2 linked regions of the Oreochromis niloticus genome follow. The protein of the gene in region 1 binds, or shares a complex with, the protein of each later gene. Links are inferred from orthologs where the notes say so. Each region holds a gene or a part of one and is shown in the gene's direction. Other genes may lie near its edges.

What was found. Proteins that work in one complex are often made in the same cells at the same time.
Region 2: rbm8a (region 1) and casc3 share a complex: the UniProt entries of both Homo sapiens proteins name them as parts of the mRNA splicing-dependent exon junction complex. The link is inferred for Oreochromis niloticus from reciprocal best matches to the Homo sapiens genes RBM8A and CASC3.

What each region holds. Positions count from the first base shown.
Region 1 is NC_031976.2:34,767,391-34,774,459, forward strand, and holds the start of rbm8a (RNA-binding protein 8A), read left to right. Parts: upstream 1-4,032; 5' UTR 4,033-4,097; coding exon 4,098-4,164; intron 4,165-4,672; coding exon 4,673-4,732; intron 4,733-4,825; coding exon 4,826-4,903; intron 4,904-5,707; coding exon 5,708-5,844; intron 5,845-7,069.
Region 2 is NC_031969.2:34,227,166-34,234,549, forward strand, and holds the start of casc3 (protein CASC3), read left to right. Parts: upstream 1-4,340; 5' UTR 4,341-4,376; coding exon 4,377-4,562; intron 4,563-7,021; coding exon 7,022-7,046; intron 7,047-7,139; coding exon 7,140-7,195; intron 7,196-7,286; coding exon 7,287-7,384. UniProt on the Homo sapiens protein: Required for pre-mRNA splicing as component of the spliceosome. Core component of the splicing-dependent multiprotein exon junction complex (EJC) deposited at splice junctions on mRNAs.

The sequences.
Region 1 (7,069 bases):
TACATGAAACTGCTTAGCATTTTTCTATATTTAAGTAACATATTTTTGAAAAGCGACTATACGCTGGGCTTTTCAGATATATGTTTGTGGCACTCTAACCAACACATGGTGAGTGTCATTTCACTCTGTTATACTCACGAGAAGGCACACATCTCTGCAGACCAGTCAAAAACCAGGTAAGTCACATCAAAACAATCAAGATGGGGACATGTATCACCACCTACAAAAGAGAAAAAAACCCACAGTTCCTTTAATCTTGCTGAATAAATCTTTGGACTGTTAAAATTATTTGTGAAGTGTTATCTTTTTCTTTAAACCCATTGTGCTCCCTTTTTCACCCTTTATTGTTACAGCAGCAGGCAAGGTTGGACATTGTGTGTCTGTAGTGTCACTATGGCAACCTGCATATCTGTCTGTCTTTGTACCTCCTGATATTGCACTGCACCCCTTTGAGCATAATAAAGTGATTACAAAGAAACGTTCATATCTGTAGCATGTAAAAACTGTCTTTGTGATGTTTGCTTGTGTTAAGTCTGATGTGTTGTAGTGCCCAAAATGCTTTGGGTGTTATTTTTTTCTTTCAAAACACATTTGCACTGTGAGAAACTGGAACAAAGTCAGCTGAAGTCAAAATAAGTGGTGATCTGGACAACTGGAACTGGACAAATGCAGCTTATTGCACAGAGGATTTGCCTTTAATGTTAATACAGAGGTAGTTTGCACAAGATTTGATGTTTGATTTTAAGCTGGACTTTTTTGCAAGAATGTCTGTTTCTCACACTCAATTTAATGTCATTACATGTACATTAAAACTTATAGATCACAGTGAAATTATACTTTTTTTTCAGCAATTTTCACAGTTTGCAAAGCCGTCCAACAGGCCAGACCAGACCCTTCGGTAAGCCTGCGCAGCACATGTTGACACCCCTGTTCTACACAATATTCACATTAGTGTACTTAAATGAATCCACCATCTGGCAGATCTTACAAATACTTTGATTCCCCTCTAAGAACTACACTGGACTAGCTATAAAAACTCGAATGCCCTAAATCATATTCAATTCAATTCAATTCCATTTTATTTATATAGCGCCAAATCACAACAAAAGTCACCTCAAGGTGCTTCATAGGTACAGACAAAAACTCAACAATCATATGACCCCCTATGAGCAAGCACTTTGGTGACAGTGGGAAGGAAAAACTCCATTTTAACAGGAAGAAACCTCCGGCAGAACCAGGCTCAGGGAGGGGAGGCCATCTGCTGCGACCGGTTGGTATCCAAAAGGAGTCGCTCCCTGCTGGCCCTTAGACACAGTGCAGGTTAAAGGCACTTCCACACTTACTTTTATATACAATATATGCTTACTATGGGGCTTGGAAGGGTGGCTGTAGCTCCGGAAGTAGGGCAGGTCAGTCTGCATGTCAACTATCCTTGGCCAAGATACAAGAAAGCGTAGAATAAAAGGGCTTGAATGAATGAGGCATGTTGTATAAAGTGCTTGGAGTGCTGTGCAAGAATAGAAACGCACTATATAAGGGTCAGTACATTTACTAAAGATGTTTATCAGAACTACTTTCATCTTTCTACTATTTTGCTTTTACCCTTTAACCAGATTACACATTGCTTGAAGTCATTTCTCTACCGACACTTGATTTCAGTTCACAGTAAGAATAGCTCTCAGTATACCAGAATGACACCAGAATACAAGCATGAACAGCTTTTATATGACTTTCAAACACATGGGTCAAAAGCGTGAGTGGATTCATGACTGCCCTCTGTTGGTCTTGTAATGTATTTTTTACAAAAACCAAAACTCAAACAAAGATATTCTAGTTGTTTAAAGTAAAATTCAACAAACTCAACACATAAATCCTCAAAAAAAACAACAACCAAAAAACGGCCTAAAATATGGATGAAGATAAAAAAAAAATGCTGCTCTTTTCACCTTCGCCTTATCTTATGTTGTAATTTATGACAGGGAACAGCAATTCCCTGTAAACTAGGTAAGATTACATATGATACAGAAGTCATATTAGAGCCAGTTCACACTAGTAAGTGTAATATAAGCAGACACTATTATGAGTGAAAATACACACATTCATCTCCTGTTTCCAGGTCATACAGTGAAATTAGAATAGCAATTGAAAATGAGTCTGTGTATACTTATGTCAAAGCATAAGAGTAACTCAGACATAATGGGATGTGTTATCGGAAATCACAGCATCTCTGTAATAGAGATTGAATGAGCATGAATTTTTGAAGATGTGAGTCATAAACCTCAGGCACACTGTCTCGCTGTGGATTTTAAGCACGATTAGATGACAGTGTAATAAACACAGGAAATGTCTTGATGCATTCTCAATCATCCAGGAAAGTAAATCTCCAAAAGTTGAATCTGTTCATCTGGACGTAGCGTTTTGTGGGAGAAACGTTTCGTCACTCATCCAAGTGACTTCTTCAGTGTCAGCTGACTGCAGGTTTCCCCAAACCTTATAAACAGTACATTTGCATAATGACTGAAACCAGCCCACTGAAGGAACAATGGGCTGTGAGGACCTCACAGCCCACTGAAGGAAGGACCTCACAGCCCACTGAAGGAACAATGGGCTGACAGCCCATTGTTCCTTCAGCTGACACTGAAGAAGTCACTTGGATGAGTGACGAAACGTTTCTCCCACAAAACGCTACGTCCAGATGAACAGATTCAACTTTTGGAGAAACACAGGAAATGTTTAAATTCAGGATGAGAGAACAAATAAACGACACTGTTTTCCCTGAAATGTGACATGTTTAATAAGTCTTCAGATTACAGTTGACGGCAAGTGAGTGAATGTTTCTAATCATCTCACCAGAATATAAATGAAGACAATTTAACACTGAATACAAAGTTTTCTACAAAACCCTAATGTACTCTGCAACAAATCATTGGAAATGGCAAGAAAACCCCATGATATATGTAAAGAGTGTCTATGTCATGTCCCATTGTTTGCCTTGCTAAAATCAAAGTATTTGAAAATATTTTTTAAAAACATTGTGTTTGTTTTGCATGTACAGACTATATGTAATTATTATCTACAGTTCTCAAAGAAATTAAGTAAAAAAAAAATGAAATACTGATGATCACGATCTAAATCAAATGGACAAAAATGGCTTTGTAAAGTTATTTCAAAATGTGCACCTTAAAAGTATTTAATATTATATACCACGTGTGCTGAAATATTAGCTGCAGTGTTATATGTTTATTTTAACTAAATCATACACTCCACTTGCAATGGAAGTGAGTGGAGTTGGGTGGGGTCCTCGTAGATGAATCAGGTTTCTTCTACTATCACTGCAATTTTTGCACATTGCCTCACAGCACATTGCTGCAGTTGTATTTGAGTCTTTGGGGCTCTGGTGGTCCCAAGAAGTAAGAAGCCTGGAGAACTTTTCCTGAAGACTATTTACACAAATGACAAGAAAGGTGCCCAAGAGAGTTCAACTGAATAAAGGTGGTTACACCAAACACTGCCTTTCAAGCTTGTTAGAATTGTATAAACTTGTTTTTGTGTGTGTACTGTATTTCCATGTATGTTTGCGTCATTGGTTTGCACATGTTTCAATAAACCATTGCACCAGTTTTTTTATTTTCCAAACAAAATATAGAGAAATGACAAGTTGCACAGTGCTGTAAGTGCAGGTATCTTAAAGCTACACCATTAAAAACCTAACTGTGCCTGTTTGTGTAAATTGATTTGAGCCATTTTACTTTCTGTGATAAAAATAATAGTGCCTCTGTCAGTGCGCTCCAGGGCGGCTGTGGCTACAATGTAGCTTGCCGTCACCAATGTGTGAATGTGTGTGTGAATGGGTGGATGACTGAATGTAGTGTAAAGCGCCTTGGGGTCCTTAGGGACTAAGTAAAGCGCTATACAAATACAGGCCATTTACCATTTACCTTTAAAAAAATATATATATATATTATTTTCATTTGTATTTGTGTATTTTATTTAATATATTGACTTTTATTTTATACAAACTGGCAACTTCCGCCTACCTCTCAGCGCTTTTTGCGTACGTACGTTACGTTGGTCAGACGCATACACACAGAGACATCATGGCGGACGTGCTGGACCTTCATGAAGCGGGAGGCGAGGACTTTCCTATGGATGAGGATGGTGATGGTAATCATATTATGTTCACTGTTAGTGGAAAATACTTTACTGTCCCCGCGTTCAAATGATGTGTAATTATTGAGGTCCGAATCGCAGCCGCCATGTTCGTAAACGGAACAAAAGCTAGACTGCGTGGTGGCAGGCCCGATCAATGCTAACATGCTAATGCGAGTTAGCGCCGTATAGTTGATTTATTCAGTCGCTCCGTACAAGTTAGCGAGGCTACGGACATAGAGGTCTTTAAAGTTCACCTGTTTCTTTTTGAAGGGGAAATTTACTTGGCCGGTAACTTAACTCTCATTGTGAGGGTTGTTAGCAGCTGCTAACACGCTAATTCGCGGTTAGTGCAGCTAACGGGTAATTGTTTTTGCGGCTCAAACTGGGGGGAGCGGGCATGTTAAACATGTTCCTAGTCAGCTGAATTAAATTGGCGAATTTTGTTCGTTGATAACTTGTAGTCAAGAGAGCATTGCAGCGACGTGCGCTGGCTTTGACTTGTTCATCTTTCATTCATTAGAGAGCATCCACAAGCTGAAAGAGAAAGCCAAGAAGAGGAAAGGAAGAGGCTTCGGTTCAGGTGAGTGACCCCTGGTGTGATGGCGATATTTTACATAGCCTCTCTTACTTTAGCTATGCAGTACAGTAAGTGTTTCTTTGTCGATATTTCCAGAGGAGGGAGCCCGGTCCAGAACCAAAGAGGACTATGATACTGTGGAACAAGATGGGGATGAGCCAGGCCCTCAGAGATGTGAGTAAAGAAACGGTTTAACAAAGGATTATGTCACGAACTTGAAACGGCAGGCTGTGGCTTTGCTGTGATATAGCAGAAAGTACCAGTGGTTTTCTGGGTAATCTTACATCATTTGCTGTTGATGTGATAATCACTACTGGGTAGAACATGTTAGAACTTATTTAAATACATGTTCTTAATTGTCATTGTCTTAATACTTAAGCACAAAAATAATTTGTGTGTTTGTCCTCATTACAATTGTGTGGTGCAATTTCTCATAATTGTCAATTTATAAACCTTTCACTACAGCACCACAGGCTGTGTTACAGAGTAATGCAAAAGTAAAATGATGAAATAACTTGTGATTAGTAAAGTAATGCATTACTTTTCTAAAAGTAACCGGTAAGACAATGCTGCTGCTTTTTTGAGTTACAACTCCAATGCTTGTAATGATAAGTTTGGTCAATAGTATAAAGTCCAAGCTACATGTGTGAATAGAAATCTCAGAGTTAATCAACAGCAAAAGAAGGATTACGCTGGTACCATTAAAATCCATTCAGATTTACAAAAAAGCAGACTTGCTTCCAAAAAAGTGTCACTTCTGTTATTTATTGACTTAATATCAAAGCAAAGCTTTTTATTTTACATTAAATGCTTTATTGCAACGTAGCACCTTTGGCATCACACTGTCAACAACTAGTTTTTATTTATGACTCAAATACAGCGCTTTTTTTTTGTTTGTTTGTTTTTTGTCTTTTTTAAGCTGATACACTTGAAAGTGGTACTTGATTCATTACATGCTGATTCCTTTCCTTGCTGCAGCTGTGGAGGGCTGGATCCTCTTTGTGACGGGTGTACATGAGGAGGCCACAGAGGAGGACATCCATGACAAGTTTTCAGAGTTTGGAGAAATCAAAAACCTCCATCTCAACCTTGATCGCAGAACAGGTTACCTTAAGGTAAAAAAATACAACAACAAAAACCACATACTATTATTGTGTGGGTTTTTTGTGTGCGTGCGTGAGCTGATAACCCTGGCTTAGTACAGGTTCGCTGTCTGGTGATACCTGATTCTAGCCCGCTACTTGGAGTTGAACCTCAGTGTGGTTTGCAGCTATACTTTGAGGAATGGGAGGCGTGGGGTTGTTCCGTAGATCTTTCAGACAGGCTGATTGTACACCCCAAACAACGCTTCTGTTAAACTGTTAAATTGGCTCTTTTTGTTTTGTTTGACTGGCTTTTACATCCAATTGTGTTTGAGTGGGGGAAAAAATGGCTTGTTGAAAACATTGCTTCATTCTGGGGTAAAGGTGGTTTGAGCCCAGACAGATCACTGTTGCCTTCCAGCTGCATACACAACACCTGGCTGCATAACATGTTTGTTTGACCCTTAATGATGACACCACGATGCCATCCATGAAGAATAAACTCAGAAGCCAGAGCCAAGACCATCCACCGAGTCACACTTTAACTGATTTCATACAAAGAGAAGTGCCAGTGTCAAGTTAGTTACCAAAAAAGTAACCAACATTTCTCTGACTTGTTCTAATTATCGCTAAACTAAACCCTAAATCCAAATATTTTTAATACTGCAAATGTCCTTAATTTCTGTAAAGGATTATGTTTTGGTTTAACAATCCCATACTGTTCCTCTGTTCATGTGAAAAATGGAATTATTGGTAACCTGCTTGCTGGTTTTCTGATCAGATTGTTCTCATTTTTAACATGTGATGTGGATCAAACTGGAAATTTTACACACGACGTCAAATTTTTACCAAAAGCACATTTCATTGTCCTTTTAGTGTTTTGTTGTTGTGCGCTGTCTGTTTTTTATGATCCCATAAGTCAGTTTAACAGTGGCTTGTGACACTATTTTATAGTTAGGTCAACTTAACCAAATTCAAATCAGGAATATACAGATATTACACATTTGTTTGTTTTTATTCCACACAAATGGTAAAGTAGAGCAAGTTTGTTTCTGCAGCCAAACTGAAACAACTGCATGAATGCAAAGGAACAGCTATTTGTAGAGTCCTCATCCCACCATTGTCATTGTATTTCAGCTGTGTATAACACTTATTCCATGCGGGAAAAACACTTGTGCAGAGGATGCATCTGATCATCTTTGATTATAGCTCCTTCAGCATGCCTCTTCTCTCTTTTCCAGTTGCATTTCAGGGATGC
Region 2 (7,384 bases), on another chromosome or scaffold:
GAGCACAAAGCTGCTGCAGCTTTATTTGTTGTTTAAGGTGAAGCTAAATCTAAAAAACAACCACCTGAGCTTCATGGATCAGGCAGCTCATTATGACAGGACAGCGTACGGCTAGCCAAAAGATTTTTATCAAACAGCACATTAGCTCACGACACAGAGCTCCTGTGTTTGCTGTTAGAGGTCAAATCCTGCAGAGGCCCAGGGACGACCCAGAAGCCTCCAGGGTTCAGACATTTCACAGATGTTTCACCAGTCTCACTTTTTGCATGTTTCAGAGCGAAGCAGCAGAATGGATCTGAGAATGTCTAGAGAGATGAAGAAGAAGAATACAGAGGAGGCTCTGAGAAAAATGATGAAGACGTGCGTGAAATGTCCAGATTTGACGGTGAATGAAGCCATAGTGAAGCTCTGCAGCACCTCAGCAAGACCAAACAGCAGAGCTATCCCGTTGATGATTGGCTCAAGGATCTCGCTGAGAAGCTGGCTAATCTGTCAGGTAGTGTCAAGCTGGCGGGGCTTGGAGCGCTGGCCTTCACCATCTTCATCGACATCATTTCAAGCTCAGAGAGCACAAAGGAGGCTCTGCGGTGCGTCTTTGCAGAGCAGAAGGCCTCTGAGGTGTGGCATCAGATTGACGAGTGTCTGAAGAGATGCATGATGCACACAAATGATGATGCAGAGCTCATAAACAACATCAGATGGATCGAGCACCAGCTGAGCATCGTGCTCACCAGGCTGAAGAGCTCCATGATGAGGGACGGACAGATGTCGTCACGAGCTCTGAGGGCCTGGGTGAACGGAGCCGCCTTCCACATCCAGGTGCGGATCCACCTGGTGAGACTGGGAGGGCTACAGACCTGCGGACCTGTGGACACTCTCATCTCTGTGTATGAACGCGAGCTTGAGCTGCTGTTCGAAAAGCACAAGATGGAGAATAAATACGAACTGGACAAAGAACGTTTTAACAAATTTATTTCAGAAGAGGGTTCACGTACAGCTATTGCTGTTAGCCTTGTCCCACTTTCTAAAAGGTTAAAGATTTATTATGAGGAAAATTACGACAGCCAGAAGAAGCAGATTGAGCAGCACTTCAGCAAAGTCAGAGAGGATCTGCCACAGCTGGTCAGTCAGAGGGGTCACCTGAGTGTGTCGGAGTTCACCTGATTCGTGATTTCACTTAGTTTGTCTGTTAAAGAACAAATAACTGCTGCTTAGGTCATCATCTCCTCTGTCTCCCTCTGATTGGTTGATAGTTTTCATGTGTTTTCAGGAACGTGTCTCTTTCTCAGATATGTGGTTAATTATGATTATCAGACTGAAGTTAACTCGCTCACATTTAAAGCCAGTTATCCACGAGTCTGTCAGTGTCTGTGTATCTGTCTGTGGGCACACCAGGTGATAAACACCAACATGTATTCTGGGGTCACTGAAAGGCCAATTATTTTCTTAATTGAGGAACAGAGTGTCAGGAAATTCCTAATTTTCAAAGTAAAGGTTCTGTTACATATGGGGAAAAGGCAATTATAGGAAATGGTCAGGATCCTTTAACGCTACACTTTTGCAAAACAATAGCCTTCGATTACCTGTTGGATGTTATCAGTGATCTAAAGCTGTGAAAATGTTGTCTCCCTTCAGCTTATTAGCATGATGATAAATGTGTTTACTCTCCTAATAAACTCAACTATAGGAACAACAGCAGAAGTGTCCTACATGTGGAGAAATGTGCATCACAGGGATAACAGCAGGGCTCTAGAGTGCGACCAATTTGGTTGCAAATGCGACCAAATTTTTCAGTGGTGCGACCAAAAAAAAATATTTGGTCGCACCGGTGTGACCAAATATTTTCGGGTAACAAAAAAAAAAAAAAATCTCTGCAACTGTCCGTGTGGTCAACAACAGACACACATTATGCCCCTATCGTGGACTAAACCAATCAGAGATAGTCAGGGGCGGGACCTCTCTGATTGGCCGTGGTCCAGTTGAAAGTGCAGGTGGAAGAGAGAGGTGAGTAGCTTGAATAAAGTGATATCATTTCATTAAGGATTCCACACAAAGACGTAAACACAGACCCGACGCATCAGAATCAGCTTTGTCTTTCTCGGCTTTCTCACCCCACGGCCCGAACACGGACACGCTGTCGGAGCTTAGTGATTCTGATGCGTCGGGTCTGCGCTGTGTTTCCTCTTTTTTGCGCTGATTCTGAGCTGCAGGTTTTGTCTCTCCAACCAAAATTCGCCGAGCCAGCAGCAAAAGAAGCAGCAAACTACGCTTCACATTTGATCAATGTCGTCATGAATTCCCTCTGACTTTTGCTGTTTTGCTTCCACCACGATAAAAATCACACTTCATGCACAGCTCTCCCTCTCTCTCTCTCTCTCTCTGTACTTCAAGAACAGTTTCCCGTCTCAAATCTCTGTTTTCTGCATTATTTATTCGCTTATTACCCACCAGTCTACCGTTGTTTACAGCGCTGTCGGCCGCTGTCTTTTTCTTTTCTTTTTCTTTTTTCACTTAAATGACCTCGGACAAGAAAGCCTAATTTCTGCTGTTCAGTACTGAAGAAATTTAAACTTCTTAAAATTATGCAAAATTGCAGAATATTTTTAAGGTTATCTGCTATAAAACGCCAGACCAGGAAAATCTCCTTCATGTTTTTCTGTGTTTTATTCTCAGTTACTTTGACACAAAGGCATCTGCTGTGATGTTCACAATTCTGATGAAGTCTCATGTGTATCAGTGCTGATAAATGATCAGAATTATAATATTTCTGACTGTCTGAGGCTAAATTGAATCGAATCAGGACTTTGAGAACCGGAATCGAATGGATTATAGAAATCAGTGATGATACTCAGCCCTAGTGAGCAGCCTAGGCCTGACAGAAGTGGATGTAGCTGTGGGTAATAAGAAAAGATGAAAAGAACTATTGATAACTTTTGTGTTAAGTTAAGGACTGATCCGTCTGAAATTCATAGCCAGCTCTGACACGGTGCCATCAATCTTTGAATGCTGAAAAAGCAGCAGTGCATCCAGAAAACACATTATATGCTGCAATAAATGCACTGCCCAAGTGTCCCCTCTCCCCACTGCCTTTCAGCAGCAGGCAGCAGCAAACAGGTCGTCAGAGGAGGCCGAGGTGATGATTAAGTTTAACATTTTCTACAATATTGACAAAGCACTTTAAGCACAAGTTTGTTAGTTAATAATTTAGAAATTAATATTGTCTGTATGGACTTCCCCCCAAAGAAAGTGCACATGTAAAACTGCGGTGTTAAGCGATGCGGTTGAAAAATTTGAGTGCGCCTAAATTTTGTGCCGGTGCGCCTAAATTTTTAAAGTTAGGCGTACCGGTGCGCCCATGTGAAAAAGTTAGTTTAGAGCCCTGATAACAGAGAGTACAACAAGGAGTGAGGCCAGGACACACTGACAGGGATGAAGGGAACTCAGGTCTGTGTAAACAGTGGGAACTAACTGGGGATAGGAAACAGACAGGGAACAGCACGCAGGTGAAGACATACAGGAAGTCAAACTAAAACAAACTTAAAGCTGCTGTCTGGTACAGGCAGATCCTTAAAAAGCACAGATGCAGTGCTGGGCTCTTCAGAGAGCGACGTGGTGGAGGGTTTAACCGATGGTGCTCACCTGAGGCCTCAGACTCACTGTGGAGACAGGTTATTCTGCTCTGAGCTCGGCATCTCTGCAGCTCTGAATGTAGTCAGCAGCGCCGTCTAGTGGTGACCGACGGAAATGCGCTACTCTGACGTCTTACCTGTTCCTCAGGTTCAGGTACATACCTGTAAAATATCACCTTTTTCTCGTCACCTGTTGCTGTGTCGAACTACAAACATGTAGCTTTTACTGCAATACAACAACACTGAAACTCAGAGCTCAGTATTAATCCAAACGTAATGTAAGCTTGACCAAAACGTTAAAATAAAATAAAATAAAAACAGACTTCTTTGTTGGTTTGGAGGGAGACGCTCACGTTTCAGATCCACCGCCTGTCTGCAGAAACATGCTGCTGAAGCTTTGGTGCATCATCCATCAGCTGCACATCCAGATACTTTAAATACTTTAAGTACTTTTACCTGAATACATTCTGCATGTCAGGACATTTACTTTACTAAAGTCAGACCTGCAGAACTCTGTTTATTGTTTCTGTTTTGATTTTTATTACCCAGTTTGTTTCGTTTCTGTTGTACAAGTTATGTTTTATTTTCTATTTATTTATTTTGTCGCATTTTCAAGCGTGTTAGTAAAAGTTTACAAACAGTAGATGGCGGTAGAGAGAAAAAGGTGCTCTTAATTATCTCACTGAAGAAGAACTCGGATACCCATAATCCTCTGCTTCTTCCGTTTCCAACCATTCGAGTCCTAAGATGGCGGACCGGCGGCGAAGGAGGAGGCGCGCGTCCCAGGACAGCGAGGATGACGATGAGTCCGGGTCGGGTTCGGACAGCGGGAGGTCCGGGTCCCCGTCCTCGAAGCCCCGGGGACGGGAGCCCGACCCGGCGGAACCGACCGCGAGCCGGGTCCCGGCGAAGAGCGACGTGGAGTCCGAGTGTGTGAGTACCAGCTAGCAGCTAACGTTAGCTCCCAGAGCTCACCCGGTCCCGGGCGGGAGATCAGAGCCGAGCTTTCGGGCGTTAGAGCATTTACTCCGGGCCCGAGACCCGCTCCGGGCTCGGGTCACTGTGGAAAATGAACCCTGGATAAAACAGCGGGTGACGTGTTCGAGTCCCACAGACAGCTCGGTGTTTGTTCGGCGTTAGCTCGAAGGTAACGGCTCCGCTCTGTAACCGCTCCGTCGGACGGTTCTGGTCCATGACCCCGGCCAGCCTGGCGGTTCGAGCTGGAACAGACCGAGTAGCTCGCTGTAGCGCTTGTGTCCGAGCCGGAAAGGCTCAAACTAACACGGACACCAAACGTGACACAACACCGAGGCGTGAGAGTGATGTCCGGGACCCCCGGGCTGGCTGCATCACGCACCTCCGCGTGACCCGAGGTCTGAGAGAGGCTCTGGGCTGAGCCTCCATTTTGTGGCCGTGGATCTGTCTGAGATCATCCTGGGCCCCTGTGGTGGTGTTTAGCTGCCGTTTTTGGTCCCCGCAGCGGGGGGAAACATGACTGATTCGGTCCGACCGCAGTGCAGGCTGAGGCGGGTTTATTGGCTCCAGGCTGTTTACATGACAACAAACATGAAACGACAGATTAGTAAGAACCAATCAGCAGCAGGCTTGTTGATAAGTGTGCTGAAGTGAAATGTGAGTCCTGCCTGTGATTTCAGACGTTTGCTGTGTTTAAGCTCTGTTACTTTGGTTCCCAGTTTACAGGCTTCTGCTTCATCTGATCTCTGCTCTTGTTTGGGTCGTCACGGCAGCTCATCTGCCTCCACCTCCTCCTGTCCCAGCATCCTCCTCTGTCACTCCACCCCTCTGTATGTCCTCCTTCACAACATCCATGAACCTCCTCTGAGGTCCTCTTTGTCTCCCCCTGCCTGGCAGCTCACTTTTTTTATCATCCGCCCTCCCTCCTCTGCACATGCTCAGACCCTCTGTGACTCAGAGTTGTCACTCATTTCTGACGCTCAGTCGCTGTCCACAAATCAAACATCACAGCAGGTCTCACGACCTTCTCATAAACCTTCCTTTTCACTCTTGTAAATTCTGTTTTTAATCCAGATGCACTTCCTGACACGACCCTTCCCATGTGTCTGTGCTTGGGACGGCACTTGGAGGGCAGTGGCCTGTGGCTGGTCTTCACTGTGAGGAAGACGCTGATCTTTCTTGGTCTGTGAGAGTCTTTCGGTCTCAGTCGCTCACTCACACAGGCGAGCTGACGGCACCTCGTCATGATTTCTTCACATATTTTAAATATTGGTTCTTTGCGCTGGTATAAACTCACTCGACCGTTTGCAGGTAAATTAACTGTTCAAACTCCCAGAGGAGCTGTGCTGGTGTTACAGGTGAGAACGCTCCACCCTGCTGTATCAGCGCTGCTGCTGAAAAACACAGACACAAAGTGAATCCAGCTGTTAGCGTGAGATCAGACCGAGCTCATCTGTAAAGAGGTTTAAAGAGACTGACTCTGTGAGACGTGCGATATGACCAAAATCTCATATCCCGATATTAAGACATCTATCGTCCGATAACGATATAAAATCACAAAAATGTAACATTTTCTGTAAATTCTGTGAATGTCGGGCAGCTCGACTTGCGTGAAGTGTTTCCAGCTGGGCGTCGCGTACCTGGAGTCGAGTGTTTTAACTGATGCATGAAACGATACATTTGTAGACATAGGTTGTAACGGCCGCCGTTTTCTTTGTGAGTATTTATTACACGGCGTGCTGCGGGGAAAAGCCTGTTCTAACGTTTGAGTATAAGGTTTATTTTTTAGCACCTGACGGCTCTTTTTTGCTTCTCATCCGTAAACACTCTGCATCTTTCACGTGATTCAGTTTATTTTGAAAAGCCTCAACAGGATCTTGAGCTTTATTGTGAAAGGTTTATGTGGAAAATAAACAAGCGGACACGAGGTGGTTTTACCGTCGTTGTTGCTAACGAAAACGCATAAAAACAGGCGCTTGTCCGTCTGTAGTGTGGTTATATTAAATATAAGAGAAAGAGAGAACTTTAGGAAATTCATATAGCCACTACAGTGACCATCAAAATAATGAAAAAATATTGCCGTAAACAGTTTATTTTGCGACACCACGAAACAAACGATAGCGTAAAATGAAACGATAGACGTTTTTCTATCGTCATCCGATATATATCGTTATATCGAACAGCCCTAGTGAGACGTTTGATAAACTCGGATCTTTGAGCTGCGTTCAGACTCTGCTGAAGTAATCCGAGCTGTGCTGTTGGTGGTCTGTACAGTTAAAGGTGGAAGCTGAATAATGTGCACGGCGCTCTGTGACATACTCGCAGCAGAGCTCAGGCTCTGACACACAGACGCGTCTGATCCTCGGCGCTTTGGAGCTGCAGGAGCTTAACGCTGGTTTTCTTCTTTGTTGTTGCAGGAGAGCGAAGACGGCGTTGGAGAAGGTAAGCGACTTCTTCGTGAGCACCACACTGAAGTCACAATCTGGGAAATCAGGCTGCTGTTGGGTGATTTCACTCCTCCTCTTTGTTTTTCAGCCGTCCTCTCAGATTACGACAGCGCCGACCCCGAGGACAACGGATCGCATTCAGAGGTACGACCGCCGACTCGCTGCTTTCTCTCGGCTGTGACGTCTTGTTTAGCCTCTTTAGGGAGTGTTTCTCCTAAAACTGTGTCCTCCTCAGGGAGTGGAGGAGGAAGAGGAAGCAGAGCAGTACAGCGACGAGGAAGCTCCGGCAGCAGCCAGCGAGCCCCAGCCCCCCACTACAGATGGCCCTGTGGA